7 linked regions of the Ovis aries genome follow. The protein of the gene in region 1 purifies or fractionates together with the protein of each later gene. This does not show direct contact. Links are inferred from orthologs where the notes say so. Each region holds a gene or a part of one and is shown in the gene's direction. Other genes may lie near its edges.

The links.
Region 2: the proteins of BAG2 (region 1) and HSF1 purify together in Homo sapiens (affinity purification with mass spectrometry; 3 studies listed by BioGRID and IntAct, with this or other methods). This does not show direct contact. The link is inferred for Ovis aries from reciprocal best matches to the Homo sapiens genes BAG2 and HSF1.
Region 3: the proteins of BAG2 (region 1) and LUZP1 purify together in Homo sapiens (affinity purification with mass spectrometry; 3 studies listed by BioGRID and IntAct, with this or other methods). This does not show direct contact. The link is inferred for Ovis aries from reciprocal best matches to the Homo sapiens genes BAG2 and LUZP1.
Region 4: the proteins of BAG2 (region 1) and DNAJC13 purify together in Homo sapiens (affinity purification with mass spectrometry; 3 studies listed by BioGRID and IntAct, with this or other methods). This does not show direct contact. The link is inferred for Ovis aries from reciprocal best matches to the Homo sapiens genes BAG2 and DNAJC13.
Region 5: the proteins of BAG2 (region 1) and IRF2BP2 purify together in Homo sapiens (affinity purification with mass spectrometry; 3 studies listed by BioGRID and IntAct, with this or other methods). This does not show direct contact. The link is inferred for Ovis aries from reciprocal best matches to the Homo sapiens genes BAG2 and IRF2BP2.
Region 6: the proteins of BAG2 (region 1) and RASAL2 purify together in Homo sapiens (affinity purification with mass spectrometry; 3 studies listed by BioGRID and IntAct, with this or other methods). This does not show direct contact. The link is inferred for Ovis aries from reciprocal best matches to the Homo sapiens genes BAG2 and RASAL2.
Region 7: the proteins of BAG2 (region 1) and UBAP2 purify together in Homo sapiens (affinity purification with mass spectrometry; 3 studies listed by BioGRID and IntAct, with this or other methods). This does not show direct contact. The link is inferred for Ovis aries from reciprocal best matches to the Homo sapiens genes BAG2 and UBAP2.

What each region holds. Positions count from the first base shown.
Region 1 is NC_056073.1:3,196,617-3,201,052, reverse strand, and holds the start of BAG2 (BAG family molecular chaperone regulator 2), read left to right. Parts: upstream 1-1,238; 5' UTR 1,239-1,390; coding exon 1,391-1,503; intron 1,504-1,505; exon of another isoform or gene 1,506-2,511; intron 2,512-2,728; exon of another isoform or gene 2,729-4,436. UniProt on the Homo sapiens protein: Co-chaperone for HSP70 and HSC70 chaperone proteins. Acts as a nucleotide-exchange factor (NEF) promoting the release of ADP from the HSP70 and HSC70 proteins thereby triggering client/substrate protein release.
Region 2 is NC_056062.1:13,586,152-13,590,817, reverse strand, and holds the start of HSF1 (heat shock factor protein 1), read left to right. Parts: upstream 1-1,775; 5' UTR 1,776-1,942; coding exon 1,943-2,059; intron 2,060-4,666. Other genes in the region: ribosome biogenesis protein BOP1, read right to left, coding at 1-115, 1,526-1,615. UniProt on the Homo sapiens protein: Functions as a stress-inducible and DNA-binding transcription factor that plays a central role in the transcriptional activation of the heat shock response (HSR), leading to the expression of a large class of molecular chaperones, heat shock proteins (HSPs), that protect cells from cellular insult damage.
Region 3 is NC_056055.1:243,407,350-243,411,969, forward strand, and holds the start of LUZP1 (leucine zipper protein 1), read left to right. Parts: upstream 1-1,409; 5' UTR 1,410-1,701; intron 1,702-4,620.
Region 4 is NC_056054.1:257,879,359-257,883,306, reverse strand, and holds part of DNAJC13 (dnaJ homolog subfamily C member 13), read left to right. Parts: intron 1-1,846; coding exon 1,847-2,013; intron 2,014-2,117; coding exon 2,118-2,197; intron 2,198-2,279; coding exon 2,280-2,449; intron 2,450-2,912; coding exon 2,913-3,012; intron 3,013-3,948.
Region 5 is NC_056078.1:6,783,036-6,787,632, reverse strand, and holds the start of IRF2BP2 (interferon regulatory factor 2-binding protein 2), read left to right. Parts: upstream 1-1,641; 5' UTR 1,642-2,346; coding exon 2,347-3,397; intron 3,398-3,999; coding exon 4,000-4,597. UniProt on the Homo sapiens protein: Acts as a transcriptional corepressor in a IRF2-dependent manner; this repression is not mediated by histone deacetylase activities. Represses the NFAT1-dependent transactivation of NFAT-responsive promoters.
Region 6 is NC_056065.1:59,300,552-59,304,499, forward strand, and holds part of RASAL2 (ras GTPase-activating protein nGAP), read left to right. Parts: intron 1-1,430; coding exon 1,431-1,573; coding exon of another isoform or gene 1,574-1,595; 3' UTR 1,596-3,948. UniProt on the Homo sapiens protein: Inhibitory regulator of the Ras-cyclic AMP pathway.
Region 7 is NC_056055.1:37,555,017-37,558,964, forward strand, and holds part of UBAP2 (ubiquitin-associated protein 2), read left to right. Parts: intron 1-24; coding exon 25-214; intron 215-335; exon of another isoform or gene 336-416; intron 417-3,108; coding exon 3,109-3,322; intron 3,323-3,948. UniProt on the Homo sapiens protein: Recruits the ubiquitination machinery to RNA polymerase II for polyubiquitination, removal and degradation, when the transcription-coupled nucleotide excision repair (TC-NER) machinery fails to resolve DNA damage. May promote the degradation of ANXA2.

The sequences.
Region 1 (4,436 bases):
TGAGGCGGGGGCGGGGCTTGCTCTTCGTACTAGAGTGGTCGGGGTCCTTAGAGAACTTGAGCAAAGGCCTGAAGGTAGGGAGTGAGCTTATCCAGACATGCACAGCAAGGCTAGTGCAGGCAGCAGGCGACGAGAGTCCTCTGAGGCCTCTTCTGAAGGCCTTGGCTTTTACTCATTTCACAAGTGAGCCGCTGAAGGTTTCTGAGGAGTCATTTGCTGTGCCTTATTCTGGATCACTGCAGCTGCTGAGCTGAGCACAGACAGTGGTGCAAACAGCACCAGACCAGATGGGAGGGCAAGGCTGGGATGCTGGCCCAGTGGGGAGTGAAGACGGGCCTGGGTATTCTCTGGAGTTGGAGTCCACTGAGTCTGAGGTGTGAGAGAGTCTAGCACATTCACAAAACGTCTAGGATTCCACGTTTGTCATGATACAATAAAACGTCTAATGAGGCCAGATGACCCCCTACAGCAGTTGTGAATTAGTATTTAAGAGTTCAGAGGAACTGGGATCTAGCCTTAGGGGCCTCATCTCTGTTCAAGTACCTCGACTTTGATCTCAGATTAAAGGTTGGGCTCCAGCCTTGAACTGTTATTATCCCCTTCCCGGTGCCCTGTGCATCCCCTCCGTGTACTGCTGGGCAGAACGCCTAGTGTGCTCTGGCCCCGCCACCCCTCTACTACTCCCTGACCTGCACGGTGGCCGAGCGGCCTCCATGGTCTTCTCATAACAGGAGGTTTATACAAATGGGGTTAGAAACGGCCTTAAATAACAATCATTTCACTCGAATTCCAACCAATAACTTAAACAGAGAAGTCATTACAAATGCTTTCATGCGAGTGGGTGTGAAAACGATGAGGTTCACCTTGACCCCTACACGCAGCTGGACAGGGCGGCTTTTTGTCTTCTGCTCTGTTGGCGTCCAGACTCCAGTTCTCACCTCGGGAAGGTGCCCGGGAACCACGGCTACGCAAAGGACCCCTTCCTCGCGGCGGATGGCCCCGGAGCGGGGAGAGGGCGGGGCTGGTGCGAGCCCGCCCCGGGGCGTGATCGGGGGCGGGGCGCCGCGGGCCAGCCTGGGTGAGGGCGTGGCTCACGCGAGCCCCGCCCCGGCTATGCTTGGGGGCGGGGCCTCCGTGGGGCGGGGCGAGGGCGTGGTTGGCGCGGGCCTCGCCCCGGGGCGTGCTCGGGGCGGGGCCGGGCCTGGCGCCACGCGGAGCCGCCCCGCCGCGCCGCCCCCGAGGCAGCTCGCGCGGTCGGAGTCCGGCCGCCAAGCCCTCGCGCCCTTATCTGGGTGCCCTGGCCCCCGACTTCGGGTTTGCGGGCAGCGCATCCGAGTAGACGGTTGGCGCGTGGGGACGGCGGTGACCTCGGGCCGCCCGCCCGGCGCAGATGGCTCAGGCGAGGATCAGCGCCAAGGCCAACGAGGGCCGCTTCTGTCGCTCCTCGTCCATGGCCGATCGCTCCAGCCGCCTGCTCGAGAGCCTGGACCAGCTGGAGCTCAGGTGCGCGGGGCGGGGGCCGCGCGGGGACGGAGCTGCGGGCGAGGACCGGGGGGCGAGGGCGGAGCGGAGGGCAGCGCGGCGCTGGGTCGGCGCGGCGGCCCCCCACCCTTCGGCGGCCCCGAGCGCCGGGACCGCGCGACCCCGAACAGAGGAGGTAGGGGGGACGTGACTCGAGACGACGGCCGTGCCGCCGCGGAGCTTCCAGAACCTTCCGCGGGGGGCCAGGTGTTTCCGGCCCACTCCCCGCCGCGAGCGGTTTTAGGACCGGGGCCGGTTAGTGGTTTCTGTGCTGAGCGACCGAGCCCTTTGCAAAACGGAAAAATCCGTCTGGCCTCAGGCCCGAGAGCAGCGGACAGGTGTCTCCCCAAGCCGCGCTCGGCCTCACCGGGGCGCCGTCCCACCTTCCCGGCCGCCAGGGCCCGAGCCGCAGCGCTCCCTCCCGGTCGGGGTGTCCCTGCGGTCGGCGTGTCCCCTCCCGGTCGGGGTGTCCACGGCGGTCAGCGCGCAGAGGGAAGCCCTGGCGGCGAGGGTCGGGCTGAGGTCAGCGAGGATGTGACTTTGGAGCAGGGCCCGGGGTCAGGCGCGCAGAGGTTACCACCGGTCAGGAGGAGCTGCTGTCTCCCTTAAAGCTTTTAGTGCTTTTCTGAATTTGAGAAGATTTAGGAATCTGAGTTCCTGAAAACCGGAGAGCCTGTTTTGCCAGTTTTCCCAGAGCACAGAGTGCCTCACCCCGGCTCTTTCCCTGAATTCTTTCCAGGCTGTGCTGCTGTCAGTTTCTATAGAAACCGGTGTGGGGACCCTGCTTAGTGACAAATGTAGTCACCGGCTTGTATAGGATTCCTAAATAATGTGTAAGAAATTTGGGAAATAATCTTTTCTCTAACAGTGAATGAAGACTTCTGTGTACTTCCCATAACTTCTTATTGTCATTGAAGGTCCGGTAAATTGTGTGCAGGTGTAATTACAGGCAGATCTTACCAAGGCGTCCAAAACTCCCTAAAACCACAGGTAATTTTTCCCATAGTTACCAGACTCTGAGTGAGCAAAGGAATACATGTAAGACACAATTTTAAGAAGGGCTGCATATGTGTCTTTATCTCAAAACAGGACAAGGGGTCTGTTTGCCAGTAAAGTACATTAATAACCAAATGAGGCACTTATTATCATTTATTAATATTTATGTTGACTTTCATCATTTATTGTATAGTTCTTTTTATTATTACAGAAAGAAACAATGTCTTCTCAGAAAATGAGACGCTCACCACCACGATTTCACGGAGAGTGACAATGGTCCTTCTCCAGCTGAAGCAGGTGGAACAGGCAGAGCAGTTCCTGTGGACGATTTTATGTAGCAGCGTTAACAAGTGACTGAGCGTCTCTGGTCTCAAGAACTTTGAGGGCATGTTCTCAGCCATTTCAGGGGGGCTCTTCCCTAGTTGGAAAGAAAGGATGTTTTCTTCTCAGCTCGGGCAGGACACAGTTCCTTTCTTGAAGCTGAGTTATTGTTCTAAGACTTGAATTGATGCCTCACATAGGGCAGGTGCTCATCTTTAAAAGGAAGTTTCTTGTTTGAAATATTACGTTCTAGGGCTTCCTTAATGTGAAATGAATTCTGATTACCGTGTACAAGTGGTTAATCACTTGCTGAATTAACCCTTGAGCTGAGACTGATAAATGTGTGTTCAGTTGTTCATTTTAAGGACTTTTCTAGTTTTAGACTGATGAGCTTTGTTTCTTTCTTTTAAAAAAAAGTGATGCTGACAAAATTAAGTCTTTTGGAAGGTTAAGTAAAAAATAGAGAAGTTTATGAAGGCAGATGGGTCATGGAAGAGAGCACTGAGCTGTTAGAAACTAGAATCAGGCCCAGAAGATCAAGTTTAAAAAGAAAACAAGACATTCATGTGTTAACTGTCATTTACTTTCATGTTACGAGTGGCTAATAAAGCAGTGTTGCAGGCACACTGAAAATCACAGACTGTACCAGGAGGTCTGTGTTTACTGTCCCTCTGTTGTGCTAGTCTCAGCAAAAACTTTCTCCGCATGAAATCGAAAATAGAATTATGCTCAGTGCTTCATGACCTGCCATGTGAACTGGTGTCCATGGTGTTTAAAGTTTTTCAAATGTTTGACCGCATCTCACAAATCGCTGAAGAAACTCCAGTTGTTTCTAATGCGTTAGCACGAAACTAGATCTCCTTTTTTGCTTCCTCCTAAAAAGGTGATGTCTCTCTCTACGGGTTTTCGTGACCGTGCAAATGGCCTCTGACTTTTCCATTTGTCAGTGGCTCTGAGCACTTTGCTCACGATTGTTACTAGTTTAGCAGTGATCATATAATTCATAAATGATACCCTCCAACAGGTATCTTAGCTAACCAGCATGACTACAGGTCCTGTGTCTTTGTGGAAATTATGTCACCCTCATTGTCCAGGCGGGAAATTGAGGCTTGAGAAGTTAAAAGAGCTCAGGAGTGGCTGCAGAGCTTAATGCTTTACGCCTGAGTTTTCTGAGTTACTATGTCATATTTCAAAGTGTAGGAATAGTATATGATTTTACTGAAAGAAGTGAAAATTCCACTTAGATCCGGGTTTAGATCAGGGGCTGTTGAATGCCATCTCTGCAGGGTGTGAGTGGCCCTGAAGCTCCGGCTGGTGGTGAAGATGCTTGGCCACGAGGTGTGGAGAGCAGCCCAGGGGACGGATGGGACGGGGAGCTGGCTGCTCACAAGTGTCCGCAGAGCAGCCTCCTGGGCACCGGGCCACCAAGGAACAAGGGAGGGAGCAGGGACCTGGGTCCTTTAGCTGAGTTTCCTGCTGGGCTGACCCGACCCCCGGAGCCAGAAGACAGCACCTCAGTTAATACTGTCAGAGCCTGTAATTTAAAAGGTCACTTCTCATAGACGGTATCATATGAACCTTCCAAAACCCTCCAAGGC
Region 2 (4,666 bases), on another chromosome or scaffold:
CAGTGCTGTCGCTGCCGGAATCTTCCAGGCCTGAAAACACACTCTCCTCGCTGTCACTAAGGCCAGGATCACTGCCAAGCCTGCTGCTGGGAGCCGGAGCGCCGAGGAGAGAGGGCTGCAAGAGGCATGGCACTGATGACCCCAAGCCCACCCACCAGGCAACCAAGCGCTGACCCACAGCCTGTGTGGCCAGCCTCCTCGGTCACGGCCCTCAGGCCACAAGCCTCCAGCTCCACCAAAACCACCCACCCAACCCAGGCCTCCCTCACCACCCACTTCCACCGCCAGCAGGCCTCCTGCCTTTGGAGGAGACATTCAGTTAGAGTCTCACAAGAGAAGGACTTTCCAAGGAGCTCAATTTCCATCACATCACTTGCACCAGCTCTCCACCCTTCACGCCCGAAAGCCACATCTGGCATTCACATCTCCAGAGCTACCAGGGCACTGGAGTGGGGTCTGGGACAGGCAGAGAGGACCACAACCTGAGGCGCTTTTCCAGCCTGAAGAGGACTCTATCCAACCAGATAGGGACTGACAATTTATCAGTAAATTGTAAAGACTGGTTGAAGAGACGTAAAAATGATGCAAACTTTACTTAAAAGCAAGTGTTCTGGTTCACCACCCCATGGGATAGGACTAGAGCTTCCTCTGAGCAGAGGTCTGCTGACCAGACACCACCCAATCCCTAAGTTCACAAGACCCATGCACTTAGAGAGGGGAAACAAGAACTTACAGACTTTCAGCAAGCACTTACTTGAATGGAGAACCCTAGATTTCTGCTTTTTAATAGCTACTAATTCTCTCAGCTAACAGGAAAGCCTGCACTCACCAATTAGCAGCATTCAACTGAACTTCCACAGAAATAACTCTGATACACACTACTTCAACGCTTAGTAAGCTACACAATTACAACAGCAAATAAAAATGGCACAAATGGCTTGGGCACAAACACATATGGCTGCTGAGCCTGGTGCCCAGAATGCCTGCTAGCAGGAGGGCAGCAGGATTGGTCAGGGTAAAGGGGCTGCCTGACAACCTAGCAACGTGGAGTGCTCCCTTAGGCAGGCGCGGCTGGACAATCTTTGGAGGGCTGATGACACCCCAAACCCAGCTGAGGTTCCGCTGCATGTCTGAATGGAATGGCTTTAGGTGCAGTTAAAAAAAGGATGCGGCCAATACAGCAGGCACGGCCTTCCTATTCTCGTGCCCTTTTACAACGTATCCGACGTATCAGTAACGTACTAACATGCTCAAACCTCTTTAATGCAGGAACCACAATCCAAAGGGCTAGGGAGGCCACGCGCACGATGCCAGCCCCTCTTGCTAGTTCGCTCCGGCCCACACTTCTCCAACCACACTACGGGAGCCCCCTGCCCAGGACGCCCCCACGAGGCCACCGCCAGCACAGAGCTGGTAAACCGCCTCCTCGCACTCCTGGGCCCTGCTCCCCGGCGCTGGCCGCCCCGGAGCCGCCATGTGCGGCCCAGCCGCGCCACCCCGTCCCGCTCGAGCAGCCCGTGGTCACCTCCTCCAGCTCCGGCTCCGGCTCCGGCGGCCGCTTCCCGGGCCGCGCCACTGTCGCCGCCGCCACTGCGCCACTCAGCGCGAAAGCCATGCTCCCTGACCGCCAGGACCCGCGCCGCCACTTCCGGCAGCTAACAGACCGCGTGGGCCCGGGGGCGGGGCCCGAAGGGTCAGAGGGCGAGAGGCGGGCCCAAATGGGCTGGGCCGGCGCGCACGCGCGCGCCGTGGGGACGCGGGCGGGCGGCGCCGGCGGGAGCGCGCCCGTCGCAAGATGGCGGCGGCCATGCCAGGCCCCGGGGCCGTGTGTGCGCAGCGGGCGGCGGCAGCGCGGCCCAGGCAGCAGGCGCGGCGGCTGCGCTAGCCCGTCCCTCGGCCTCTCTTTGCGGTTGCTACCTCCTCCTCTCCCGTCTCGCCCGGTATGGATCTGCCCGTGGGCCCGGGCGCGGCGGGGCCCAGCAACGTCCCGGCCTTCCTGACCAAGCTGTGGACTCTCGTGAGCGACCCGGACACGGACGCGCTCATCTGCTGGAGCCCGGTGAGGGGCTGGGCGCGCCGGCCTCGGGGCCTGTAGGGGCGGACAGCCGGGGGTTCGGGAGAGCGTCCGAGGCTTCCCCTCGGTGCGCGCTGCCCGGGTCTGGGCAGGAAGGGCCTCTTCTCCTCGGTCTCTCGCCGAGTAATTGTGAGACGACGGCGGAAGCGCGCCTGGCTTGAGGGCAGCGCCCAGTTTCGTAGCGAGTGTGGTGGCCAGGTGACCCCACAGCTTCTCAGATGAGTTACCAGGGTGGTGGGGTCGGCAGCTGTTGCGAGGAAATGAGGATTTGGCGCAGGTATTGGAGGGCGCTGCTCTACTGAAAAGGAAAGGGACCGAAAAACAAAGCAAAACGTCATAAAGTTGTGGTGGGTCTCGAACTCGTGTCCGGATACCACAGCTGGGTTCCCCCAGAGCCACTTTTTATTTCGTTCCTCTCGGGGCCTCTCTATCCACGCCCCTGCCTCCAGTTGCCTGGCAGCAGGCTCGTCTCCATGGTCTGACCCTGCAGGCCAGACAGCTACCCCGCTTGCAGAGGTAAAGCAGAGACTGTCTGGAGTTGCGGCTGAGAATCTGCGTCCGGGCTGTGACGTTGCGTCCGGGAAAGGCCCGAGCCATAGCTCGCGGCCCGCAGGTGTGCGGCCTGGGCTGCCCTGGTTTGCGGAACCTCTGGGTGCCTCCGGGCACACTTGCTCTCCTGAGGGCGCTGGCTCTCCCAGATTCTTCTAAGTACTTCTCTTTCACACTGTTAAGCCGTTAGAAAGGAGCAGCAGTCTGAGCTGAGGCGAGCCCAGAGCAGGAGGCCAGGTCCTCTGGTTCCTGGGTTATTTGCTGAAGCTCTGTCTCAAAGCTGGTAAAGAGAGTCAGAATCATACTGCGTCCTTGTAGGGAACACTTCGTGTTGGTCCCAGTGACACACCTGTGTGCCACGCTCCATCCCTATTGCCTGCTTCTGTAACTGCGCAGCGTTCCCCAAGAGGAGGCTGTACTTCCTTCCCCAAGCCTGTCCTGTTACTACCATCCCCTTGTTCAAGGCCCTAAGCTTTGCTGACCCAAGGAAATGACCCCAGGTTTCTGTCTTTATTCTTCATTTCTCTTCTTTTCCTGTCCCCTAAACTCCCAGGAAATACTCTTAGCCAGGTTGGGGAGGGGCATCGGAGATCCTTTGGGATAGTCTGAGCTTAATCTACTGGGATAATCGCCTCTTGATCTGCTTGATGTTTCTGCTTAAAGATTGTGAGGCAGCAGCCAAAGCCCTGCCAGCGAGCTCTCCAGGTCCCACTTCCTGTGTTCCCAGCAAGGCCTTAGAGCTGGAAACCAGGACGGATCAAGCCTGCCACAGCCTCACACACAGTGGCTGCACCACCCACCAGCCCTGCTGGAACTTAAACTGGAAGGAGTGGGAGCAGCCGGCTGGAGCCCGTGCATTTAACCTCCCTCCCCTCTGTCCTTAGGCCAACCAGGATGTGCTTGGCGCGGGGTGCAGCGGGCAGGGGGCTAGTGGTGCCAGGCAGGACAGAACCTGAGCACTGGTTCAGCTGTGGAAGGAAGCCCTTTTCCAGGCTGGGCAGGGGCTGTGGAGCTGCCTGGCCCTGAGAAAGAAGATGGCCCTCTCCCTGAGTCCTCTGCGATGCCCACACAAAGCCCCAGGCCTCTGGCAGAAAGTCTGCTGGGGGAGACTTCTGCGGTCTTGAAGCCCGGCGTTGGCTTCCAGAGGCCTTGGAATGTTCTGGCATCTGTTCTCTTGGTGCCTCCCTTCCAGCTGGAACTTTTCTCCCCATTCTGCCCCGAGGACCCTGTGTTTGCCCCCAGAGACAGGAAAAGGGGGCGGGGTGGGGGGTTTTCCAGCCCCAGCAGTGCTGTGCATCCTCCGCACAGTCTGAGGCCCTACCTGGAGAGTCATGTTGGTTTCCTTTCCCTCCCAGACCCCCGGTCAGTTACCATGCTTGGTGTGGGGCCACCACAGAATATGCCAGGGCTGCCCCTCAGACAGCCCTGTGGGACCGAAGGCCCCACAACCTTGGGAAGGAACCTGGTGAGCGTGGCAGCTGCATCCATGGGATGCTCCGTGAATCAGGCCTGTTTGGCTTCAAGACAGCATTAACAGTGGTAGGAGGGTGGGTGCATTGCTGAAGGAGGCTCTTCTTGTTAGGCTGTGGGCACCATGAGGCCCTAAGAGCAAGGGCCTCCTTTGCCTAGGAGCTGGGTGTCGCCAAACCAGGCCCCATCCCAGGTGGCCAGTGTGAGCGCCTGCAGTTAGAGGGTCGCTCTGGAGGCCCTGGCTGCAGAGCAGCCTGTAGTCAGGTTGCCAGCTCTCTGCGGGACTCCTCGAGGGCCCCAGTTGCACCTGACCACTCCGAGGTGGCTGAGGATTGTTCCTGGGGCTCCCACAACAGGCAGGCCGCTCCTCCTCCTAGCTGGGAGCCAGGTGGGCCCCAGCAGGCCCTCCGCCCTGCCCTCGGGGGTTGGCAGTGGCCAAGAAAGGCTGGAGGAGCACCCAGCACACAGCACAGGCTGCAAGGGGCACTGAAGCCTTGGAGGCCCCTGGTGCCCCCTGAGCTTGCCACCCAGGACCCGGCCAGCCCTTTCCGGCCCTCCACGTAGCAGGAGGCC
Region 3 (4,620 bases), on another chromosome or scaffold:
TCCTGCCCATAGCCCATTGTCACATACTTAGTTGCAAGGGGTGCTGGAATATGTAGTCTGGGCTGCTTTTCTCTGAAACAACTCTACACACGGAAGAGGAACGTCTTTGGTGAATAGCTGGTGTTATTTCAGTTCACAAAGACTTGAAATTATTGAACCTTTGTAAAACGGCTAAGCATACCACGCGGTGTATACTATGGTTATGAGAAGGGCAATGGTCTTCCTCTGTTTACAAGGAACCATGAGCAAAATGAAGTACTTACATTTCAGACCAAACATATTTGTTCAACAGAGGAAAGGATTATGGTGGGAGAGAGTTTGTCATGGTAGGAACTATTGAAGCAGAGGCTGAATTTTCCCTATGATGAAGGCTCCAGAAGGAGTCAGATAAGATGCCTCCTACTAGTCCTGATAACTTTGAGCTTCTCTGCTAGGCTCCAGGGGGCTTCCTGGGTGGTGCAGTGGTAAAGAATGTGCCTGCCAATGCAGGAGGGGCAAGAGATGCAGGTTTGATCCCTAGGTAGGGAAGATGGCAACCCATTCCAGTATTCTTACCTGGAAAAATCCCAGGGACAGAAGAGTCTGGTGGGCTATATAGTCCGTGGGGTTGCAAAGAGCTGGACATGACTGAGCATGTACGCAACACACTAGGCCCCAGAGTCACCTCCGAGCACTTATTTTGTGTCAAGTTCCAAGTGGCGTTTGGGGGACCCAGAAACAAAGGAGACGGGGTTCTGACTCTCAGGTTACTCACTGTCATGAGTTGAAATAGGACATCTGGGAAGCAGGACAGTGGAGTGGCCTGAGCTCCAGAAACACAAGGCTGGCATTTAACTCCTAGCTGTGTGACACTGCAGAAACCACTTGACCTCTCTGGTTCTCAGTTTCTTCATTTATAACATAGGGACAATAGTTATCTTCATAGATTCTGAGGGCTCAGAGACAGTTACTTTAGCGCATTTGTAGCACAGCACCTGGTAGGTAGTGAGCACTTCTTTTTATCAGTAGCAGTGTTTTTATGATGTCACTTCACTTTTTCAGCCTTCGATTTCTCATCTGTAGAATGAAATTAACCAACTTCCATCAGGGATTGGAGTCTCGCTGGGCTGTGGGGTCTGGGGTCTGCCGTTTCTTCTTGCATCGTACTCATTATGTCAGGACGAGAAGATTATGGACCACAACCGGCATCGTCCTGGGACACAGCAGGAACCTGAGCGAACCAGGACGCGATTTCCTGGCTGCGCTCCCAGGAAGGACGTTTGTGCTGGGTCCCATCCCCCGGCCAGTCCGGCTCAGGAAACGCGGAGAGAAAGCCAGGAACCAGGCCTGCCGGCCCCGCGGCCCCTCCGCGCCTCCCCCACTCGGCTGCCCCCGACTGCAGGAAGCCGGCCGGCGGGAACGCCCTGCCCAGCGGGTGGGAACGGCCTCGCCGGCTTCCCAGGCCCGCGGCGGCGCGGAGCTGTCACTGCGGCAGGCGCGCCGCCTCCCCCGCCGCTCGCGCTCCCGCTGCAGCCGGTCCATCAGGATCGCAGGCAAGCGCCGCAGACCCGGTCCCGGGCGCCCGAGCCGAGTGCCCTGGGTCCCGCGGACGCCAGCGCCCACCTGGCACGGAGCCCACGCCGCGGGGGGCCAGACTGGGGAGGGAGAGGTGGCCGAACCTCTCTTTGCGGAGGTGAGACGCTGAGGCCCGAGGGTTTGTAGGTGAGTGGTCCAAGGTCATGGCTAGTAAACTATAGGGCCGGAATTCGATCCATGGGCTGCTTGACTCTAAAGTTTGTGTCTTGAGTCTGTGGACCGGTTCGTGAGGGGCTCGGGAGGGTCCAGGTTGTATGGAGGCCCGAGAACAGGAGGCCTGATTCTGGGGGTAATTGACGACCTCCTAGAGGTCTGTGAACGCCTGGATTTTGTGCAAAGCCTGTTGTAGGTTGCATTTCCCCCGCCTCAGTTTCAAAGTGTCAGTGACTCCAAAACGGTCTTAGCTTTCCAAGGCGCAGGGGTTGATGCTGGCTTTTTTAGGGCCTGAGCCACCTCTATAGTCTATAGCATTTAAGAATGTCTCTGCAGGGGAGGGGCTTGGGATCCTTACAGGTTCCCAGGATCTTTCTCCTGGATCTTGAGAATCTTTTTATGGAGTTCCGGGGTCTGTCTCTGAATGTGAGGTCCTGGTGTCTTGTCTGAGGTTCTGAGAATCTCACTGTAAGGTTCCCGTGGTGTGAGTTCTAAACCTGGGCCTCATGATCCCTATGAACCCCTTGAAACTGCAGGCAAGATTCTGTGGGTCTGTCTGTGTCCATGTAGTTCCTAGGAGAGGTTTCATGGATTTCACCAGATTCTCAAAGAGTGCTCTGACCCCTCAATCTGGGGAAAATATTGCTTTGGAGCATCCTACGTTAGACAGGCCTTGCTCCCTCTCCCTAGTAAGAGTCAGGAAAAAATAGGAGAGAGGAGATAAAAGGTGGTGTTGTCTAGTAGAGGAATATGTGTTTGGGAGTGAGGCCTTCTGGGTTAAAATCCCAGCTTTACCACTTAGCAGCTGTGTGACCTTGAGCAAATTTCTTAACCTCTCTGAGCCTCAAGGCCACCTCCTGTAGGAAACCTTCCCTGTGTCCAGAATTCAATTAGGTCCCCACTCCACATTCCCCAAGCTCTCATTGCACCTGGCCTGATACTCTGGGGGATTTAATGCAGTTGTTATGAAGTAATTGATTGTGCTTAATATTTTCTTGTCCCTCCACCCACCAGTCTTTTTTGTTTGTTTTGGTTTTTGAAACTTTTTTTTTTTTTGAGCACTGCTTTAAAAAAAAAAACCACAAAAACTTTTTATTTACTTATTTGGCTGCCCTGGGTCTTAGTTGCCGTATGGGAGATGTCTGTTGGATCACGCAGGATCTTTCATTGTGGCTCGTGAATTCTCTAGCTGTGGTCCATGGGCCTCTGTAGTGGTGGCATGGGCCTAGTTGTTCTGTAGCATGTGAGAGTTTCGTTCCCAGACCAGGGATTGAACCTGCAGCCCCTGCACTGCAAGGCGGATTCTTAACCACTTCACCACCAGGGAAGTCTCTTCATCAGTCTTAAGGTCCAAGAAGGCAGGGACCTTTGCTGTCTTACACGTTAGGCTCTCAACCATTTGTTATGAAATAAAGAAAAGAATGAAGGAACCGAGGAAACACCAGACCCTGTCCTGGAGGCAGAAAGGGATCAGAAATGAATAAGCATTGTTCCCCTCCTTGAGAAGGTCCCAGGCTAGTGGGGGGACTAATACACGTTTATGTGAGGAAGACTGTCCTAAATGTGTTAATGGGGAGTAAAACATTCGTGGGGATACACACAAACAGGAATGTGCCAAGCAGAATCATTCCCAGAAGAGCTGATGTAACAACTTCTCTTTGTGATACAACTTCAGTTCAGTTCAGTTCAGTCGCTCCGTCATGTCCAACTCTTTGCGACATGAATCGCAGCACGCCAGGCCTCCCTGTCCATCACCAACTCCCAGAGTTCACCCAAAGCCATGTCCATCGAGTCAGTGATGCCATCCAGCCATCTCATCCTCTGTCATCCCCTTCTTCTCCTGCCCTCAATCTTTCCCAGCATCAGGGTCTTTTCCAGTGAGTCAGCTCTTCGCATTAGGTGGCCAAAGTAGTGGAGTTTCAGCCTCAATGTCAGTCCTTACAATGAACACCCAGGACTGATCTCCTTTAGAATGGACTGGTTAGATCTCCTTGCAGTCCAAGAGAAGCTCAAGAGTCTTCTCCAACACCACAGTTCAAAAGCATCAATTCTTTGGCCCTCAGCTTTCTTTATAGTCCAACTCTCACATCCATACATGACCACTGGAAAAACCATAGCCTTGACTAGACAGACCTTGGTTGGCAAAGTAATGTCTCTGCTTTTGAATATGCTGTCTAGGTTGGTCATAACTTACCTTCCAAGGAGTAAGCATCTTTTAATTTCATGGCTGCAGTCACCATCTGCACTGATTTTGGAGCCCAGAAAAATAAAGTCAGCCACTCTTTCCATTGTTTCCCCATCTATCTGCCATGAAGTGATGATGGGACCAGATGCCATGATCTTAGTTTCCTGAATGTTGAGCTTTAAGCCAATTTTTTCACTCTCCTCTTTCACTTTCATCAAGAGGCTCTTTAATTCTTCTTCACTTTCTGCCATAAGGGTGGTGTCATCTGCATATCTGAGGTTATTGATATTTCTCCTGGCAATCTTGATTCCAGCTTGTGCTTCCTCCAGCCCAGCATTTCTCATGATGTACTCTGCATAGAAGTTAAATAAGCAGGGTGACAATATACGGCCTTGATGTACTCCTTTTCCTATTTGGAACCAGTCTGCTGTTCCATGTCCAGTTCTAACTGTTGCTTCCTGACCTGCATACAGGTTTCTCAAGAGGTAGGTCAGTGGTCTGGTATTCCCATCTCTTTCAGAATTTTCCATAGTTTATTGTGATCCACACAGTCAAAGGCTTTGGCATAGTCAATAAAGCAGAAATAGATGTTTTTCTGGAACTCTCTTGCTTTTTCAATGATCCATTGGGTGTTGGCAAAAGCATTTAACTTACGTAAAATATCCAGGTATGCGCTAACTCCCAAGAGATGGGCAAACTGCTCCTGG
Region 4 (3,948 bases), on another chromosome or scaffold:
TCAAAGAGGAAAAACAAAGATAAATTTTATCTAGAACTTTAAAATGATGTAATGAAGGAAAAGACAACTTTATTTTGCTGCATGTTTGAAATATCCTTCATTTCGTTTTCAAGTTTCGAAAGAGAATGGTTCAGTTCAGTTCAGTCGCTCAGTCGTATCCGGCCGGCTGTTTGTGACCCCATGAACCGCAGCACACCAGGCCTCCCTGTCCGTCAGCAACTCCCAGAGTCCACCTAAACCCATGTGCATTGAGTCAGTGATGCCATCCAACCATCTTATCCTCTATCGTCCCCTTCTCCTCCTGCCCTCAGTCTTTCCCAGCATCAGGGTCTTTTCCAATGAGTCAGCTCTTTGCATCAGGTGGCCAAAGGATTGGAGTTTCAGCTTCAACATCAGTCTTTCTAATGAATACGCAGGACTGATCTCCTTTAGGATGGACTGGTTGGATCTCCCTGCAGTCCTAGGGACTCTCAAGAGTCTTCTCCAACACAGCAGTTCAAAAGCATCAATTCTTCAGTGCTCAGTTTTCTTTATAGTCCTCACATCCATACATGACCTCTGAAAAAACCATAAAAATGGTTACTTGATATTAAATCAAAGGATGGAAAATAAAGTATGTTTCTGAAACTTACACTTTTTAAGTATTTAAAAATAATACCTTTCACTTTGATTCTTAAATTGTTTGGATGATGGTAGCCAGTTACTTTGATAAAAATGCACTCAGTGCAACTACCACATGGGAAAACAACTAAACCTGTGTGCAGGTTTTGTGTGGGTATGTTTTAAACTCCTTTAGGTGAATACAAAGGAATGTAATCACTGGAGCATATGGTAAGAGTTTGCTGAGTTTTGTAAGAAACTGCCAAACTGTATTCCTAAAGTGGCTCTACCATTGTGCATTCCAACCAGAAGTGAATGAGAGTTCCTGTTTCTCCACATCCTTATCAGCATTTGGTGGTGTCAGTATTTCAGATTTGGCCATTCTAACACTAATGTTGTGGTATCTTGTTTTAATTAGCATTTTCCTGATGTTATATGATGTAAAGCATCATACAGGACTTTGGATCATTCTTTTTCCTTGTTCTTTCCACTTTAATTTTGTATTGGGGTATAGCCAGTTAACAAAATTGTAATTGTTTCAAGTGAACAGCAAAGGATTCAGCCATACGTATACATGTATCCATTCTCCCCCAAACCCTCCTCCCACCCAGGCTGCAGGATCATTTTTTTATTGGGTTATTCTTTTTATTGTTGAATTTTAAGATTTCTTAGTATATTTTGGGTAATGGTCCTTTATCAGATATGTCTTTTTTAAATATTTATTCCCAACTTGTGGCTTGTCTTTTTATTCTCTTGATGAAGTTTCTTGAATAAGTAAAACTGTAGAGAAGCAGATAAATGGTTGCCTGAGGCTAGGGAGTTTTTTGCAAATGGGCACAAGGAAACTTTTTGGGGTGCTGGAAATGTATAAAAACTGAATTGTGGTAATGATTGTACAACTGTATAAATTTATGAAAAATTACCAGACTCTACATTTTAATTAAATGACTTTTGTGATTTGTAAGTTATCCCTCAGTAAAACTGTTAAAGATAATCTTAAAATTAAAAAACAGGAGGAAGATGTTAATGATCCATTCCTTTAGTAATTTGAATATGATATTAAACAGAAAAGTGAAGATAAAGTATTGGATGTCAGGTTCTCTCCTGCCACTTCTCTTTAGTACTTCCCTGGTACCCAGGGTGCCCCCCTGAGCAGGTTACCTTCTAAAGGACCTATGCTGCTTTCTAAATGAAAATCTCCCTAGATTATCAATCCTAAAACCTTTGTATTTTTAACTTTGCTTAGAGATTCCTTATTAGCAAGTTTGCTGGATGGAGTAAGAGCCTCTGGTAACCGAGATGTTTGTGTAAAAATGACATCAACTCATAAAGGTCAGCGATGGGGGTTACTCAGCATGCCTGTCGATGAGGAAGTAGAGAGCCTTCATCTCAGATTCTTAGCTACACCTCCAAGTAAGTATTGATTTAAATATAATTTCATTTCCATCCATCTACTTAACAATAAATAAACATAGTGCAGACCTCTAAATCGTTTTGAATCATTCATTTCCTTACAGATGGCAACTTTGCAGATGCTGTGTTCAGGTTCAACGCTAACATTTCATATAGTGGAGTTCTGCATGCAGTGACGCAGGATGTAAGACAAATTGTATCATAATTTGTTCATTGTCATTAATTTTTGGTATAGAAACTCTTTTGAAATACTCTTCCTCACCTAGGGTCTCTTCTCAGAAAACAAAGAAAAACTGATCAATAATGCCATAACGGCATTATTGTCCCAAGAAGGGGATGTTGTTGCTTCAAATGCAGAACTTGAGAGTCAATTCCAGGCTGTGAGGAGGCTTGTGGCTTCCAAAGCTGGTTTTCTAGCTTTTACTCAGCTTCCAAAGTAAGTTGCCTTAATTTTTTTTCTTTTAATAAGAATTTGAAAAAGTCAAAATAGCAAAACATCAACAAATTTACCTCTTTATATCTGATTAAACTTGTTACTTTTTAATATGGTGAGATAGTAGTTTCTATTCATGAGATATAGAAAAGCAAGATGAATGAATGGAAATGATATTGCTGACTCTTATGTATACATTGACCCATGATATTACTGACTCTTGTTTTAGTGAATTTGAATGGGATGTTCAAATTCAAGCCTTTTAGTTTTAATCAACCTTCAAGCCCCCCATCAAAGGAAAAAAAATTATGAAAACTGTTATGTTCTAGATATGGGATTCAGAATATTTAATTGCTGTAGTAATGTAGTAGAAACTTAAAATAACTTAGTATGTTATGTTTTTATAATAAAATAATAGAATGACGCTCTGGTGTTGCTACTTTACACTGTTGTTTTGTCCCATGAGGTTTCGGGAGCGTCTTGGAGTGAAGGTAGTAAAAGCACTCAAGAGGAGCAACAATGGAGTAATCCATGCAGCTGTGGATATGCTCTGTGCCCTCATGTGTGTAAGTACTGGTGTTTTTCTCAAGGAAGCTGATTCTAAGTGACTGATGGTTTAAATTTCCACAAACCTAGATTTTATTGTTTCAATTAAATTCGATGTTTTTATATTTCCTAACTTGCTCTTACAGCCATTTACTTATACAAATAAACATTTGTTTAGCATAGCCTATAAACTAGGCACTGTGCTGTTTACAAAAAGAAATACCATGATGTTAAGACAGAATTCCTCCCTGAAATTGCTGGCAGTCTAGTAAGGTAGGCATGTGTATATAACTATATACATAGTAGGGGCCATGGGATCCCTAAGAAGCAGCACTTGATTCTGGTTTTGTGATGAGAATATAAAAAGGTTCTAGGTTAGTCTTTATGGGATATATTACACTTGATCTGAATCTTAAGGGGCAGGTAGATAATTTCTAGTTGCGAGAAGACTTTCCTAAGGAAGAGTAATTCAGTTCAGTTCAGTTCAGTCGCTCAGTCATGTCCGAGTCTTTGCGACCCTATGAACCGCAGCACGCCAGGCCTCCCTGTCCATCACCAACTCCCGGAGTCCACCCACACCCATGTGATGCCATCCAATCATCTCATCCTCTGTTTGCCCCTTCTCCTCCTGCCCTCAATCTTTCCCAGCATCAAGGTCTTTTCCAATGAGTCAGCTCTTCGCATCAAGTGGCCAAAGTATTGGAGTTTCAGCTTCAACATCAGTCCCTCCAATGAACACCCAGGACTGATCTCCTTTAGGATGGACTGGTTGGATATCCTTGCAGTCCAAGGGACTCTCAAGAGTCTTCTGCAACACCACAGTTCAAAAGCATCAATTCTTCTGCACTCAGCTTTCTTTATAGTCCAACTCTCACATCCATACATGACCACTGGAAAAACCATAGCCTTGACTAGATGGACCTTTGTTGACAAAGTAATGTCTCTGCTTTTTAATA
Region 5 (4,597 bases), on another chromosome or scaffold:
GGAGCAGTTGGGGAGACCTTTATGGAGGCGCACCTTCTCTGGAAATCCCCACAAGACATTCAGGCTTTGCCTGCAAAAACATTTAGCTCTGGCATTACATTTTCTGTGCCATTTTCGAACAGATTTTCTCATGTGCTTTAAGCAGCTCCCTCCACTGTTTCTCTAAGGGTGTTTTTCCTCTTCCCTGTGGTTAATTCTTTGAGGCAACCTGGCATTTTCAATAGCAACAACTAGAGAGAAACGTCAGCAGGATTTTTTTCTCTCTCCACCTACCAATCCAGTTGTAGGGAAGATAATATAATTAGTACCCTGTTCTTCCCACACTTAACCAGCTCATTCCAGTCTCAGGGAGAGAGGTGGGCCTGTTTTCCAACAAAGGAAGCTCGGGAGGCCGCCCTTCCAGAGCTGAAGTGTAAAGGTCCCAACTGAGAGTGACTAAGCCCGCGTCTATTAGTCAGAAAGACTAACGACCAGCCAAAAGTGATTTACCATAACACACGCCAGCTCCTCCTCCCGATAAAAGTGTGAAACTCAAGTGCTCAATTCAGTCTGGGCACAGCCTGTGGCTGCCAACGGTGGCAGAACGCGGCGAGACTGGCTGGCTCTGCACCCACATGTCGCCTTCGCGCCAGGCGGGTTTGCACCCACCTAACCCCATCCTGGGCGGTGTGGTGGGCTCGAGGTCGGCCCTGCCCACCCAGCGGGGCCGGGAATGGCTGAGATCTGCCGGGTCCGCGTGACCCGCAGGCCAGCCTGCCGCTCACCCCCAAGCGCGCGCGGACCCCACCGCCGCTCGTGCCCATGCCCCGCGCCACCTGGAGTCCAAGTTTGGCCCCGTGAACGGGGCCTGGAGGCCTAGAGTCGCCGGCGGGGGGGCGGAGCCTGCGCGGTGACGCGGCCTCTTTGGCCGCTGACCCCGGATCCCTGGAATGTGCATTCGTTCAATGGAGCCGCCAGTGCCAGCGGCGCCGAGTCACGTCTGCGCGGAGCGTGCGCACTCGGCGGCGGCGGCGCACGCGGCCCGCGGCCCCGCGCCCACGTCACGCGGCTGCCGCGCGAACCTGCGCCAGGTGGCCGGGACCCCCGCGCTGTAGCGAGGGCCGGCCGGGAGGGAGCGCGGGGTGCATTGCGCGGTGCTGCCGCTCCCTCCCGGAAGGGCTCCGAGAAGCGGCGGGTGGACTCGATCCTAGGCCTGAGAGCACGCCCTCTTTTAGTAAAACTTCAGGGGACCGGCGGCGCCTGTGTCCTCCCCAAGACCATGCGAGTGTAAAAGCGCTTGCCGAAGAGTTCAAATAAAGCTCCTTAAAAGATGTTTAAAAACGGACAGAACCAAGTTACAAAGTGGCCTTGCTTTTCAAAACACGAGTTTTACACGGTTTGCTCTAAACGGATCTGGAGGAGAGGGAACTCGGCTCGAGTGGTCGAGGCAGCGGAGCGGGTGCAGGGAAACAAGCTGCGCCAGCCACGCGTTCACGTCGGGGACACAGGGCGCGGCGCGGACGGGAGGGCGGGCACAGAGGAGCCGGCTCTCCCAGCAGCGCCCGTTCTGCGGCGGGGGGAGGGGGCGGGGGGGGGGGGGCGCGCGCGCGAGGGGAGGGGGCCCGCGCAGGCGCCTTGCGAGGCTGTCGAAGAATCAAGTCTGTAGAAGTGGAGCGGCCGCGGCGGCAGCAGCAGCAGCGACGGCGGCGGCGGAGCTGAGGCGGGCTGGGCGCTGACGCGGGCGCTGGAGAGCGGCGACGCCAGGAGCTGTGAGAGAGCAGCGGAGCGACCCGGGGTCCGCGCCGCGTCCGAGCTCCGCGCCGCCCGGCCGCCGCCGCCGCCGCCGCCGCCGCCCCGGCGCGGCATGCCCCGCCGCTCGGGCTGAGCCTGCCCCGGCGGCCGCCCCCCGCCCCCCGCCCCCCCAACCTCCCCGCCCCCCGCCCCGCACTCCGCGCCAGCTGCCGCCGCGACCTGCTGCGCTCCCCCGCGTCCGCGCGGCCCGTCTTCGCCCCGGTCTGGAGGCCAGCCGCGGCTCCAGCCGAGCCCCCGCCGCCGCCGCCGCGCCCGCCGCGCCGCGCCGCCCCGCCGCCCGCCCGAGCCCGCGCCGGCCGGGGGGACGTGCTGCCGCGGCTGCAGCCCCTCGCCCCGCGCCCGCCGCCCCTCGTGCATCGGGGGCGCTGCGCGGGCGCCGAGCCTTCGCGGGCTTTGCCGCCGCCGCCGCCGCCTCTGCGGCCGCCGCCGCCGCTGGTGGGGGAGACGCGGGGTTGGGGGGGGAGGAGGGCGCGCGTGGTGCCGGCGGGTAGCGGCGGCGCCCCCTCCTCCTCCGCCTCCTCCTCCTCCTCCTCCGGCGCCGCGGGCTCCTCGGACATGGCCGCGGCTGTGGCGGTGGCCGCCGCGTCTCGGCGGCAGTCGTGCTACCTGTGTGACCTGCCCCGCATGCCCTGGGCCATGATCTGGGACTTCACCGAGCCCGTGTGCCGCGGCTGCGTCAACTACGAGGGCGCCGACCGCGTCGAGTTCGTCATCGAGACGGCGCGGCAGCTCAAGCGGGCGCACGGCTGCTTCCCGGAGGGCCGCTCCCCGCCCGGCGCCGCGGCCCCGGCCGCCGCTAAGCCGCCGCCGCTCTCGGCCAAGGACCTTCTCCTGCAGCAGCAGCAGCAGCTCGGCCACGGCGGCCCTGAGGCCGCCCCGCGCGCTCCTCAGGCCTTGGAGCGCTACCCTCTGGCGGCCGCCGCAGCCGAGCGGCCCCCGCGCCTGGGCTCCGACTTCGGCGGCAGCCGCCCGGCCGCCGCCCTGGCCCAGCCGCCGACGCCGCAGCCGCCGCCTGTGAACGGCATCCTGGTGCCCAACGGTTTCTCCAAGCTGGAGGAGCCGCCGGAGCTGAACCGCCAGAGCCCGAACCCGCGGCGCGGCCACGCCGTGCCGCCCACCCTGGTGCCGCTCATGAACGGCTCGGCCACACCACTGCCCGCCGCGCTTGGCCTGGGCGGCCGTGCCGCCGCCTCGCTGGCCGCCGTGTCCGGGGCCGCGGCCGCCGGCCTGGGCTCGGCGCAGCCCGCCGAGATGGGCGCCCACAAGCGGCCGGCGTCCGTGTCGAGCAGCGCGGCCGCGGAGCACGAGCAGCGCGAGGCGGCGGCCAAGGAGAAGCAGCCGCCGGCGGCCTCGCACCGCGGCCCGGCCGACAGCTTGTCCACCGCGGCCGGGGCGGCCGAGCTGGGCAGCGAGGGCGCAGGCAAAGGCCGCGGGCCGGGCGAGCAGGACTGGGTCAACCGGCCCAAGACCGTGCGAGACACGCTGCTGGCGCTGCACCAGCACGGCCACTCGGCGCCCTTCGAGAGCAAGTTTAAGAAGGAGCCGGCCCTGACTGCAGGCAGGTTGTTGGGTTTCGAGGCCAACGGGGCCAACGGGTCTAAAGCAGGTAGGGGCGGCTGTGGAGTGAGGGGGTTTAGGGGCGAAGCGGGGCTTGAGAGCCGAGGAGGGGGTGCTCTTCCTATTGGCCGTTCTCCCCCGGCCCAGAAATAGCAAACATCCAACTTCCTGATCTGCTCGAGGCGGAACCAGTGCTTAGTGGCAACGTGTTCCTCTGCTGAAGCAGCATAACAGAGATGAGTCAGATGGACCGATAGGCAGCGACACAGGGCTTTCCTTTCCCAGCACATTCCTGGATGCGAGCATGAGGGCACCAGTCACCTTTTAACCTGAGGGTGGGTGGGGGGGGGGGGGGATTGGGGGGCGTTAACTCTCATGTGCACAGGGCAGCCTGGGTACTTGCAGGCCTGTGGAAGAACAGGCAGTGCTTTCCGTGCCTTTTTTTTTTTTTTTTTTTAACTGCTAGACTGCCTCAGAGCCTTCTCAGTCTAAGTGGTTTAAGTTGCACGTGCTCTTGAAACTTGGTTTTTCTGTACCAACTTTGGAGAATAGAAATTCTTCAGAGGGTTGTGTTGTGTGTTAGTGAAAGAAAGATCCTTTTTAGTGCACGTTCATTTATTCTTTTCCCCTTTTCTATCTTTGTTCTTCCAGTTGCAAGAACAGCAAGGAAAAGGAAGCCTTCTCCTGAGCCAGAAGGTGAAGTCGGGCCCCCTAAGATCAATGGAGAGGCCCAGCCGTGGCTGTCTACATCCACAGAAGGGCTCAAGATCCCCATCACTCCTGCATCCTCTTTTGTGTCGCCACCACCACCCACTGCCTCACCTCATTCCAACCGGACCACACCGCCTGAAGCGGCCCAGAACGGCCAGTCCCCCATGGCAGCCCTGATCTTGGTAGCAGACAATGCAGGGGGCAGTCATGCCTCGAAAGATGCCAACCAGGTGCACTCCACCACCAGACGGAACAGCAGCAGTCCACCCTCTCCGTCCTCTATGAACCAAAGAAGGCTGGGCCCCCGAGAGGTGGGGGGCCCAGGGGCAGGCGGCGCCGGAGGACTGGAGCCAGTGCACCCCGCCAGCCTCCCAGACTCCTCCCTGGCCGCCAGCGCCCCGCTGTGCTGCACCCTCTGCCATGAGCGGCTGGAGGACACCCACTTTGTGCAGTGCCCTTCTGTTCCTTCGCACAAGTTCTGCTTCCCCTGCTCCAGACAAAGCATCAAACAGCAGGGAGCTAGTGGAGAGGTCTATTG
Region 6 (3,948 bases), on another chromosome or scaffold:
GATTCCTACGCCACCCCCAAAAGCAGAAGATTAAAAGGAAGCCTTACCTGATGCTACTGTTATATTGGGTTGGCCATAAAGTTCATTCGGGTTTTTGTACGCTGTTGCCGAATGAATTTTTTGGCCAACCCAACAATATATGCTTTCTCCCTAAATGTCCCCCGAGGGCAGTGGTCTTCCTTCTGCATCTTGGGCAGCATATTTCCCTGCAGAGCAGTGCTGCTCACAGCCGTGTGGAGCTACTCCCATAACAGCAAGGAATAGCCTCCGTCACACGGACATTTGTGTGTCCTCTCTAACCCTGACCGTGACTCTTCCTTACCATGCTTTTCCCTGACTAAATGAAAACAATCCCTGGGTAGGAAACCTGTTTTTGGCTCTGGGGGGTTGTTCCTCACATGTTTTGTTTTGTTTTTTAATTAGTTGTTTTCTGAAAAATGGCAACTTCATGTAGGAGAGGTTCTAGAATGATTTACCTAGCTGCTGAAGCTAAGATTAGGATTTCTCTCCTAGTCTTTGCAAAACTAATAATATTTTGATGGGATGGTTTTTGTTTTTTTTTTTTAATTTAGATGAGTCTGCTTTTCTCTGATTGCCATTTTGTTCCTTCATTTTTTTCTCTTTTTTTAATGCGTGTATTCAACAGTCTTTGGTTCCAAGATATTGGTTCTAAGGCTTTTTTTTTTTCTTTCTGAGATTCAAAAGCAAAATGAAAGCAGTCTTCCTTATTGGGTAGCTTTCCTGGAGTACCTCTGAGCTGGAATGAGTCTAGGAGCTTGTGTTCTCTGTTTGTTTCCATGTGTTATGTTTTCGGCATCCCCCTCCGGCCACATCTCCCTTCCCACATTCAAATAACCCCTTGGTCTAGCTTTTGGCTGCTCCTCCCCCTCTCGCTGTCGCATCCTCACTTTGTCGGTGACTATAAACTGCCACCATGTACTGTTTCAGTTTTGAGCACCACGTGAAATCTTTCCACATGTGACCGGTGTGCCCCTTTGGGGGCTGAGAACCCATAGATCACATGCACTTCTCCTCTGTGAAATGAAACCTCTGGTGCTTCTTTCTTTGCCACCTAATTCCTGTGTTTAAGTTTTGACCCAAAGCACTTGCTACAGCAAAGCAGCTTGACACCTCTGTCTCATAGTCTGAATAACACATGGTGTCATTTTTATGTGATGTCTTAGGGTCCCAAGGGGTGATGAGTAACAAACCCTACAATGCTGAAGGGGAAAAAGAAACACAAACCCATTGGGCCCAGGGGAAGCTGGCCTGACTCGGGTGCAGAAAGAGGCAGAGACGTTCCATTTGTCTGGGAAGCATCATGTGCACTGCTGTTTGATAGAAAGCATTAATTAGAGCAGTCATCTGGTAGAGCATTACGGCGCTGGCCCACATGGAGCCAGAATAAAGCCCCGTTTGGTGTGTTGTAGGAAAAACGGATCGTGTCGCTGGATTCGGCCAACACCAGACTGATGAGCGCGCTGACCCAGGTGAAGGAACGGTACAGCATGCAGGTCCGAAATGGCATCTCCCCCACCAACCCCACCAAGCTTTCCATCACGGAGAATGGTGAATTCAAAAACAGCAGCTGCTGACGGACGGGCCTCACAAATAGACAGACTGTGGGAGGAGACAGAAGGAAACGTCCCCACTCTCCTGTCCCCAGCCCTCTCCCCAGCCCCACCAGGTTTACAGAATGCCTCTGCTTCAGAACAGCAGGCTGGCGAGCAAGTCTGGACCGAAGAAAGGAACCTTGTCTTTCAGGGCATAAGGCTAAGACTTCCAAGGTCGATGCTTCCCCCACCCCCACCCCATGTCTCTATGTACATAGGGAACTTAGTTCTGGGCCATGTACAGAAAATACCACTGTAATATACCCAAAGGAAGTTAATAATGTAGATTACCTTTTTAACTATTGCTATTTTTATTATTGTTGTCCTCTTGTTGAAAGCACTGCAGTTGTTAGAGGAGGAAATGTAGGAACTATGTACGTGAATGAGAGATGAGCCCAGCCGCTCAGTAGGTAGAGACCACGCATCTGTCTGATAGAGCACACGGACCGCGACAGGACATGGTCAGAATGAATTTTTCAGGGATTCATCTGCCAGGTTAAAAGCCCCGCTCTGGTTCCCTTGTCCTGTAGGAAAACATGCAAATTACCAAGATCCAAATGAAACAGTTCATCCCACTGATCAAGCGGGACTGGTTCTGCATGGACAGCTGATCTGACTTGGGACACACTGTTCCAGAGGACACAGATAAGAGCTGTTGCATCGAAACCGGACTCTAGGAGGGGTTTCTGTTGAACTCCTGTTGATGTTCATTTCCTTCTGTCTGTAAGCAGATGGAAATTTTTCCACTTTAGGTAGGGGGCTTTTTTTTTTTTTTAACCCCAGTTGTAATAAAAGGTGTTCTTTCTCCTCTTTAGAGTTTACAAAACTATAAATATCTGTGTCTCTAGAAACCATCTTCATCTTCACATACCCACTTGCCCTTTCCTCCCCTTTGGTGGGAGCAGTCATCACCAACAGGGTTTACTCTCCCCTGGAGAGGTTATTCAAATCTACTGTCCATAAGCCATCCGAAAGAAACACCCTTTCTTCTGTACAGAAAAGGGCTAACCATATCATACCATAGCAGGAAGCTCTGAATAGTTCCTATTAAAAATTTTTATTCTATTTGTAAGTTACAACTTTGGTTTGGGATAAAGATTTTATCCAGTGTACTAGCAGGTCTCGGGGCAGGGTAATTTTATCTCAGTCTTTCACTTTTAAATTGCTTCTTCTTTTAAATTTGGACAAGAAATCCAAATCGGAAGCATTGCTCTCTTAAAAGTCATGATTACTCTTAATGAAAAATAAAATACTGAAAGTGGGAGGACAGCGTATTCCAGCTGTTATTCCCATGCTCTTTGTAGATTTGGCAATAATAACCCAGTTTCACTAGTCGTCATCCATGGCTTTATTGTAGGACAGAACAGTTATGGAACTTCATTTACTTCCTTTTTTTTTTTTTTCCAGAGGTGTGAAACGTCATCTTAAATGCAACCTTGATTATCAGAAGTATGAAATGTTACAAGTTAGACAGATAGTATATAGACAAGTATATATACACATATATTCACACATACGTACATATAACTGCACAAATAGGAAAAGTTCCTGCCTTCTATGCTGTCGGATTTAATGTTACAAGGAGTTAGAATCTCATTAAGCAAGATCTAAGCAATTGCTTGTATTGAGAAAGCAACCACATTTCTCAAATAAGTTAATGATGTTTATTTTAAATGATAAACCTTAGGGAATTATTTTTTAAGGGAGAGGAGGGAGGGGGAAAAAAAAACACCCCAGGAAGCCATATGCATGGAGTAAGTGTTTCCACATAACGGAATACTTAGAACTACAAAGGGGACAAGAGAACATTTATCAGGTCCCCTTCTGGGTGATGCCCCAACAGAGTCACCAAGCTTCCCTTTCCACTGTACTGCAGACTTGCATTCTGACCTCTTAAACACTGCTCTCCAGTAGATCTTTGTGTTTGACCTTGTATCTCAACAACCTCACATGGCCCCCGACTCACAGTCTTTTGAAATATGTCCCCTCCGTAACATTCCCATTTCTGCCTGTCGAAGATCTAAAACAGGAGCTGCCTGGTGTGCTTATCTGATCTGCAGACATCATCCCACGTGTTTTAGCGCTTGTGTATTTTCTTGACCCCTGGTCATGATTTTATAAATTCTTATCCCCTTTCCCTCCAAGTTGAGGGCACACTGTGGCCAAAATCACTAATTAGAATAGGAAAAAAAAAAAAACCCTACCAATTCTGAAGTAGTGCTCTGTGTTGGGGGAGAGGGTGTGTAAACACAGGTCTGTTCTTGTTTGTGACTATTTTCAGCTCTAGCCATTCTGTATAAAAGCCTTCAGAAAACCTGGTAAAAGAATGGTCAGT
Region 7 (3,948 bases), on another chromosome or scaffold:
TTCATTTGCTTTTTGTCTGCTTAGTGTTGATCTGGTAGCCTTGCTCCAGAAGCCTGTTCCTCCCAGTCAAGCCCCAGAAGTCAACTCCTTTGAAATTTCACAACAACAGAGCTTTGGCCAAGCCCTTGTCTTCACGAACTCTCAGCACAACAATCAGATGGCACCAGGGACTGGCAGCTCTGATGCTGTCAACTCCTATCCGCCTCAGAGTTTGGTAACTCACTTTTCTCTTAGTATGGGATTTTAAGGAATGGTCCCATGAATAAATGTATTCTTGAATGGCACTTGCCTTATCATTATTTTTTTGCCTATAAAAATCTCTACACTAGATCTCAGTCCAGAAAACAATGATGTCATAATTTCCAAGCACATATCTGACAGTTCTGTGTAGAATTCAACCACTGAGTTTTCTGGATGAAGATTAAAAGTACTTCTTTATGATTAGTTGAATGATGAATTAGTTCAGTCATAATCAACTTAGGGATCCTTCTAGTAAGAAGGATGATTTTTTCCCTTGGGTTTGTTTCAGAGTCTGTCTCTATACTTAAGATGTTAAATTTTCATTTGTTTTGCAGTTTACTTAGATGCTAATGTTTCAGTATTGATTTGCTAATCTGCAAAAGCAGTTATTTCTAGATCTGCCTAGGTTCTTAAATTTTTAGCATTTTGGTTTTGTTATTCCAAACAGTTGTATAGTAGAGGCCCTTAAAAATTGAATATGCTTTTATTGGAACAGTGCCATCTGCTGCTGCATATATGACTTTGGCTTCTGTAACAGTTCAGCTCCTGGGTCTTCACTAGTGATCCAGTGGTTAAGGCTCTGTGCTTCCACTGCAGGGGTGAGGGTTCAGGGAACTAAGATACCTCATAGTTTGTAGCATAGACAAAAAAAGAGAACTAACTTCTGTCAGAGAAAAGCTCAGGAACTGTTAGTGAAGCAAATGAAGATAACTGATGGGAGTAAAAAGCTTAGAGCGTAGAATGTGAAAGAATGTAGCTGCAGAATGGTAAACTCAGGTCTCCGTCCAAGTGTGGGCTGTTCTGAGTTGCAAGACTCAAGGTTGAAAGGACTGTAGACACAAATCCATAGCTTTCACTAGTGATAAAACTTTGATTCATTCTTTGGTGTGTTTAATCTGAAATCTGCAGTTGAGAATGGCATTTCTTATTAATATGATCTATGATAATCACACACGTACACACACACACACACACACACACGCACACACACCCACACCCCACCCCACCCCCCTGCCTTGATTCAGAATTCTTTGCTGTTCCCTAAAAACTGGAGGCTTGAATATGAGAACTTCTCATTGTCATCTTCTCTGCATAGTCATGTCATGCCAAGTATAACTAGCTTGGGAACTTGGCATTTTTAGCGTCATTGTTGATAGCGTTTGAGAGGGTGTCACTGCTTGAAGACGGACAGACCCAAGGCAGACTCTGCTTTGAGAGGGCCCATTAATACCCCTGAGTTTGATTGAACTATCCACTTCCTTTTCCCCAATCTGCCAATGGTACACTGATGTGATGTCCTTGCTGACTTGCTGGAATCATAGGCTACTTGAAAATGTAGATAGGACATTAATGTTATTTTAACAGCATCCTTCAGGCATGTTGCTTTTTGTCGTGAACAACATCTTGAGAAACCAGAGTACAAATTGTTTTGCATATGAGAGCAGTGATTCTCAGTGATACTATGCTTTTACTATCATTGGGAAACTTCAGTTATTACTATCTGGCATATTTAGTGATTATAAGATTAAGCCAGATTCTACACAAGACCGGTCAGGATCTTTGGCACTGGGAGTTGAGCATTTGTATGCGTTTATGTGAATGCATGTGCACAAGTGTACCCGTAGGCACATTTGTAAACTGTCCCCATTGAGTGAAATGTGGAGGTGGAATTGAAGCCCTGTGCTAATAGGTATTACCTGAAGCAAGGCTTTAGTCATTGATGCAGTGATGTCATCCTGTTGTGAAACACACAGAAAGTGTGCTACAATTAAATTAGCTGATACAGGGTAGAGATTGGGGAAGAAAAGAAGAAGATGCCTTTTTTTGAGCAAGTAGGCTTGAGCTAGGTTTTGATGCATTTATAAGCGACATAAGAGTGGCGTAGTAGGTGGCATGAGCACAGAGTTAGGAGCAGTGGTAAGTAATGTTATCACAGCTGTTTTAATAGAAGCAGATTCTGTGTTTGAAGTGGAGTAATTGCCCACAGCCTGAAGTTTTTTGCTCACATTGGAGAATTTGGATATCTTTAAAAACAGCTGGGACAGATAGTCCATGGCTTTGGAAATTGATACCAGAAATAATTGATTCAGCTTTCTAGATCAGGCCTCTTGATGGAATGTAGATCATTTCTATTTTTAACATTTATGGTGGTTGTGGATTTATATTTTGACTTAATCTTTTCAGTAATTTAATGATATTGATAAGTAAAAATGCACTTGACCTGCCACTTTTAGGTTGGCTGGTCATTTGCTCTGGAAGTCTATTTGGTGTACTTGGTCATCAGAACATCTTGAAATAAACACAGCAGTGTTCAGGGCATCTGCTCAGTACACACACATATCCTTGTAATTTAGTGTCTGATTCTGGAATACAAACCGTTAAGTACTGTGATGTGCCTTTAACCTTACAGGATGATCTGATGGCTCATCTCTCTGTGACTAACCCTAGTAAAAACTTTGCCAAGTTAAAGATGATTACCGTTCCACACTTAAGAAAATATTGTATTTTTTTTTCAACCTTGTCTTTGTCATTTATTAATGATATTTCTCTCTACTTAAAAAAAAAGTAATGTGTTTCTAAGCTTAAATGATACCACTTTTTGAATAAAAATAAATTTCTTAAAATCTAGGAAACAAAATCTAGGGAAATTCCTCTTCCCTCAAAGCTCTCGTATCAGAAGCAGGAAGGATTGTTAGGTTTATTTAATCAGATCTTGTTACTTGGTAATATTTTGGTGTAGTATTTATTCAGATGAGTCTTACTAATTCAGAATGTTCTAGGCTATAATTTTTAAAATCCTTGTGAAAATACAATGGCATGTAGAAATTCTGTATTGCTGAGGATTTTTGTTTTTCTTTCCCTTTAAAGTCATCAGTCCTTGGTTCAGGATTTGGAGAGCTTGCCCCTTCAAAAATGACGAACATCACCAGCTCCCAGATTTTGGACCAGTTGAAAGCTCCGAGTTTGGGCCAGTTTACCACCACCTCAAGTTCACAGCAAAATAGTATGAGTTCTCCCACAACCACTTCTTCTTGGGACCTCAAGCCTCCAGCCTCCCAGTCCTCAGTCCTTAGTCATTTTGGTAAGTGTGCATTTTCTACGGTGGTTTGCCCCTAGTGAGGACATGCCAAATACTGGCAGAGTAGGTTGACTTTTCGACACTAATGTGGATTTGACCAGGCATATTTCTTTCTTTCTTTTTAATTAATTTTTTTATTGAAGGATAATTGCTTTACAGAATTTTGTTATTTTCTGTCAAACCTCAACATGAATCAGCCATAGGTATACAAATATCCCCTCCGTCTTGAACCTTCCTCCAATCTGCTACCCCATCCCACCCCTCTAGATTGATACAGAGCACCTGTTTGAGTTTCCTGAGCCATACAGCAAATTCCCATTGGCTATCTGTTTTACATATGGTAATGTAAGTTTCCATGTTACTCTTTCCATACATCTCACCCTCTCCTTCCCTCTTGCCATGTCCATAAGTCTATTCTCTTTGTCTGTTTCTCCATTGCTGCCCTGAAAATAAATTCTTCAGTACCATTTTCCTAGATTCCGTATATATGTTAGAATATGATATTTATCTTTCTTTTTCTGACTCATTTCACTCTGTATAGATTCTAGGTTCATCCACCTCAACAGAACCGACTCATATATGTTCCTTTTTATGGCTGAGTAATACTCCATTGTGTATATGTACCACAA